Linked DNA regions of Kluyveromyces lactis. The protein of the gene in region 2 purifies or fractionates together with the protein of the main gene of each other region. This does not show direct contact. Links are inferred from orthologs where the notes say so. Each region holds a gene or a part of one and is shown on either strand. Other genes may lie near its edges.

Region 1 (2,685 bases), on a different chromosome or scaffold from region 2:
TAATATATAATTATATTAAAATATATATATGTATATTAATCCGCGCCTCATCCTTTATAATGGATGAGGCGCGGATAATACTTTTCCCGCGGACTCCTTTAAAGGAGTCCGCGGGGGTTTATTATTAATATTATAATATATAATAAATAAGAATTACCCCGCGGCTCATCACCCTACATTCGTAGGGTGAGAGACCGCGGGGGAAAAATATTATTATAATAATTAATTATTATAATAATGGTTATCCTAAATTTATTACTCCCTACTCCCCCCCTTCAATATCTGCGCACCAATCGTGTGCGACAGGAAGGGGGGGGAGTATAGCATGAGATCAATAAATTATTTTTATACTCTTATTTATATATAATTATTATTATATTTAAAAATATAATATAATATAATATAATATAATATAATAATTCCGCGGATTCATAACATGAATCCGCGGGATATAAAATAAGTAAGAATCCCCGTCTCCTTGTGGGTCGGGAAGGTGACCGTGGGGAAACCCCTAATAATATTGTAGGGTTTGCAGGGAAAGAATATTATTATATATAATTTATTAATTATAAATTATATAATTATTGTTCATTTAATCATTCTAAGAATGCTGGTAATGAAACTGCTTCAATTTTAATAGGCATAGCTGAATGTGATTGTCCACAAATTTCTGAACATTGTCCATAGAATACACCTTCTCTTTGAATTAAAGCTGATACTTGATTTAATCTACCAGGAGCTGCATCAATTTTAATACCTAAACTAGGTACAGCAAAATCATGAATAACATCAGCTGCTGTAACAACAAATCTAATATGTGTATCAACAGGTACTACTACTGAAGTATCAGTATCTAATAATCTTAATTGACCATCTTCTAATAAATCTTCAGGAATAACATATGATTCAAATTCTACTGTTTCACCATTATCATTAATGAAATCTGAGTATTCATATTTTCAATATCATTGTAAACCAATAGCTTTAATAGTCATTGCTGGAGAAATAACTTCATCACATAAATATAATAAAATGAATGAAGGGAAAGCAATAATTAATAAAATTACAGCAGGGAAAATTGTTCAAATAATTTCAATAGTTTGACCATGTTTAATATATTTATAAGCAATAGGATTTTTACTATAAGTTCTTACAATTGTAAATAATAATCATGATACTAATCCTAAAATAATAAATAAATAGAACATAATATTATCATGTAATTCTAAAATACCTTCTTGATTAGGTGTAGCTGAATCTTGGAAATACATACCATAAGGTGTAGGTACATCATTCATAATAATTGAATTTAATAAATAAAACATATTTATAATTTTTTTTAATCTATATATATTCTATATATTAGATATTACATTGATTAATATATTATTCTCCCGCGAACTCATCCAACTAATGTTTTGATGAGTTCGCAATTAGGAAAAAAACTTATTAATAATAAATTATTATAAATAATTATAATAATATTAAATAAGTATATTGATATATTATTATTAAATTTTTATATTTTAATTGATATATTTAATATATATTAGAGATACGAGATTTGAACTCATGTCCTTCGCGTGTAAAACGAATGCTCTGCCAATTAAGCTAATCTCTATTATTATTATTATAATAATATTATACTTACTTATATCTATATAATAATATTATATAATAATTATTATAAATTCCCCCAATTGCGTATTCCTCCCCACCCCCCTTAAAGGGGGTGGGGTTTATTAATTATATTAACTCCGGGGACTCTTCCCAGGTATACACCTTATGGGAAGGAGTCCCCGGGAGAAGAGTATATAAAATTATTTATACACCCCGCGGCTTATTCCCTGGAATTCCAGGGAATAAGTCCGCGGGAAAAGTATTATAAATAAATTAATAAATAAATAAATAAATAAATAAATAAATTATTAATACTAATAATAAGTATTATACCCCGCGGGAAAATGTATATTATATATTTATTTATATATAAAATTAATAATATAAAATTAATTTTTATTAGTATTTAGAGGTCCTTAAGGAAATAGTAAGGAGAACGCGGGAAAGATATATATTAATTTATTATATATTATAAAATATTTATATTTTTACCCCCCCCTTCATATAATATGAAGGGGGGATTATATGTATATATTAATTTATTATATATTATATAATTATATAATTATAATATAAAGAAAGAAGCCCCACGCGGCATTACCCTAGGGTAATGCCGCGTGGGGGAAGAATATTGATTATTTATTTATTATTATTAATTAATAAATTAAATAGTATTTAATTTAACTTTAATATTATATTTACCATTTTTATTAACATCAGAAATATTAGTAATATTATGGTTAACAGGGATATAATTTAATTTATAATTATTAACCATTTGATTACCTCAAATATATTTATAGTTTTGGAATGTACCATTTAAAATATTCATTGTATTAGATCTAGAAATAGATTTATTATTAGATAATCTACCTTTTAATTGAATTGATCATCCTACTAAATATTTAAACATTAAAATATTATTAGGGATAGTATTAATATTATTATTTTCATAAATAATATTATATAATTTCCCCGCGGCTCCTCCCCTGGGATTACCAGGAGAGGAGTCCGCGGGGTTATTATTATTATTATTATTAATTGATTTAATAATATTATTATATT
Region 2 (3,088 bases):
ATCAGATTCATCTTATAACTAACATCTCATCTCATCTCATCTCATCATCTCAGACATAAGTTTGTAAGGTGACAGCATTTAGAGGCTACATCAGTACCAGTAATTTGATCCCACACCAGTCGAGTATTTGAATATGCCGCAAAAAGCTTTGAAAGTGACAAAGAAGGCTAAGGACCCACGCAGGGTTACTAAGAAACAAAAGAACTTAAAGAAAGCAGCTCCACTACAGATCAAATCAAAGAAACAATCTCTTCAGCATTTGAAAAAATTGAACAAGACATACTCTATTACAGAATCCACTGAAAGACTAATATCAAGTCGTGTTGGTCATCTCGAGCTATTGAAGGGTACCCGTAAGGAGTTGGCAAAGCAAGAAAAGAAGCTAGAGGGCAAGAAGAAATAAGGACCCATCTTGCTGTGAAGCTTCGAACAAAGACCACTGTTTGCTAAACAGAAATATTAACTATGTACAGTGAAAGTTTTATAAACGATTAAATTAACTTATATGTGTTAAAAGATAGAAGCTCCATTATCTCTGATATGGCCATAGCAAATCGAGAATTCTGTTCTGAATCAACGAATAAACCTGAGATGTGATCCAATATAGTGAAAGTAAGACCGAAGCCTGCGTGGAGACCCCAATTAGAAAAATTGTGCTTAGTCTAGTCGCTGTGAGGATACTGTTTACCGTCTGTGACGTTCTCGATTGTGTGTCAGTAGCAGTGGTAATGCCAGAAGTTCCTACTGCAGTTGCTTGCATCGTCTTACCGTTATACTCAACATTGATCATCGAAACGGTTCCTAAAATGATGGGTATTAGCATTGGTGCTGCGTCCAAGGGCAAACTTAGGTCTAAAGAACCTATATGAGTTAACCAACTTGTCTCTGAAAGATCTTGTAATACATGTGCGTGAGGCATATTTGTGTCCACTAACCTACTATCAGTAAGCTTCCTAAGCCCCATTGACATAGTCACCCATAGAGGGACTTGAACTAACGGTAGAACACTATTCTTCCACATCTGTACGTTGTATTTTTTGAATAAAACTTTTTGTCTCTTACGCATTTCTTTCAACGATAACATCGTTATTTGATCTGGCGTTAACTGCCTTTTTCCTCTTTGAAGCGCTCCGACCGTTTCCTCTTTAGTTTGTATTGCACTACCAGAACTTGTCAATTCTTCGTCATTAGCCTTCGCAGTCATCGAAGCCAATCTTAGCTTCACCACAGGGGGAACACTTTGCACAACTTTCCGAAGCTCTTGCTGCTTCACTATACGTTTCCTTTGCCATATACTTAGTGGTAAAGTGAACACCGTTCTCAATGCAAAAGTGGCAGTTGGTATGAGTACTAACCATGGTACTCCAGAGGCATCGTGTAACTGTACAAAACTATCAGCAATAGCTTGCAATGATCCAAATTGTCTCGAACCCTTCGCAAAATGTACGGCAGGTAATCTTCGAAGTAACATAGTTGATGTAAAACCCCCAAGATACCGATCCAATCTCAATCTGGACTCTTTACTTCACCTTTCAAGGCGAGCAAAGATGTACTGCATTTGATAGAAAATTGTAGTTTAATGGATGATCTTTGAAATGACAAAAAATGTTGAAATGATCAAAAATCATAGTGGACATGGGGTACAACCACCAATTTTACGCCAGATCCTTTAGATATTCGGTAACATAGATATAGATAGATTGATACAGCGATTGCGCTTTTCAATTCAACTTTTTTTTTGGTTTAATAGATATAGTACAGAACATTTGATATATTTCGAAGGATAAATATACATGTAATAAGGGAGCCACCTTATAGGATGCAAGAGGAAATTAATAAATGGGGGCACCAAAACGGCCCCATGACGATTTCAACATAAAAAAACTAAAACAGACAAGTGCTTAACAAGTGCTTAAAATTAATCAACTTGACTTCCATCTCTCGGTTTATAGTGAGGCAAAAGTTCCGTTACCTCTATTGGTAAACGACCATCAATTTTGACAGCGTACATTCCTGGAATATAACTGTCAATACTCATCCATCTCGCTACCCACGACCTGCTAGGTTTACACATACCAACCAAACCTTCAAAAGATGGGGAAGTACATTCAACAGCCGAAACACCTGCCTCTTCAAAGATCGATTGACAGTTCGGGCACCCATTCCTATTGAATTCAGCAGTCGATTGCACCAGTCCACATAACATACAAGCTCTGTCCGTTGACATTTCCCCACTCTTTTCGATGATATGTTCTTATATATATTGAGGCTTTGATTCCAGCTCTAATCACAACGTATGAACTGGTTCTTACCCATAAAAGATCGCATTAACTTACCTAATGTGAGTATGTAGCTTGATGCTTACAGCTTTTTCAAATTGGAAAACTGAGAATCGATGCTCGTTGATAAAGATCATAATCAGGGTAACAACAAATCTGTATAATACCCCAAACAGAGTAAAATGCCACATACAGGGAACGAAACTACATCATGTTATACCCTTTACTAGATGCAACTGTTCGCACGCGTTAGAGACATACTACCGTATTTCAATTCTTAGTGGCATCAACGGTGTCTTTTCTGTGGGAATGGCGGAGTTTCAGCACGGAAAAACTGTGGATGGTCTTAATGAATATTTAAAGGTCAGATTTTCAAAAGAAACTTGAAGATTTCAACCTTTCTGTTATATAAGATGAGGGTCATCCCCCAAATGTGAACAGAATGTAGCTTATTCTCGGTAAAGTAATTCTCATATCATCAGGAAAGAACTAGTCAATTTACAGAGGATGTCTAAGTATATTGCTATCGCCCGTGAAGTAGTTTCTTCTCACAAGTTTGTTCAATTGAGTGCGGGATGGTGTCCTGATTGTGTATATTCCAATTCCATATGGAAGAAATTCGGCGTTACGGACAAGATCTTCAATTATGATATTGCTGAAGTGACTAACAGTAGATCCGAATGGAATGAAATCAGAGATGCATTTCAAAAGGCCACTGGCTCAAGAAACTTGCCAACTTTGTACGTTGATGGTAAGGTTTGGGGTACTGAATCAGAGTTAGCGAGATTTGAAAGGAATGGTACTTTGAA

The links. Proteins that work in one complex are often made in the same cells at the same time.
Region 1: the proteins of COX18 (region 2) and COX2 purify together in Saccharomyces cerevisiae (affinity purification with western blotting; 3 studies listed by BioGRID, with this or other methods). This does not show direct contact. The link is inferred for Kluyveromyces lactis from reciprocal best matches to the Saccharomyces cerevisiae genes COX18 and COX2.

What each region holds. Positions count from the first base shown.
Region 1 is NC_006077.1:34,355-37,039, forward strand, and holds COX2 (cytochrome c oxidase subunit 2), read right to left. Parts: upstream 1,353-2,685; coding exon 582-1,352; downstream 1-581. Other genes in the region: VAR1 (ribosomal small subunit protein), read right to left, coding at 2,285-2,685. UniProt on the Saccharomyces cerevisiae protein: Component of the cytochrome c oxidase, the last enzyme in the mitochondrial electron transport chain which drives oxidative phosphorylation.
Region 2 is NC_006038.1:705,695-708,782, reverse strand, and holds COX18 (membrane insertase COX18), read right to left. Parts: upstream 1,472-3,088; coding exon 530-1,471; downstream 1-529. Other genes in the region: KLLA0_B08041g (uncharacterized protein), read left to right, coding at 134-403; transcription elongation factor SPT4, read right to left, coding at 1,919-2,227; glutathione-disulfide reductase GRX8, read left to right, coding at 2,787-3,088. UniProt on the Saccharomyces cerevisiae protein: Required for the insertion of integral membrane proteins into the mitochondrial inner membrane. Essential for the activity and assembly of cytochrome c oxidase.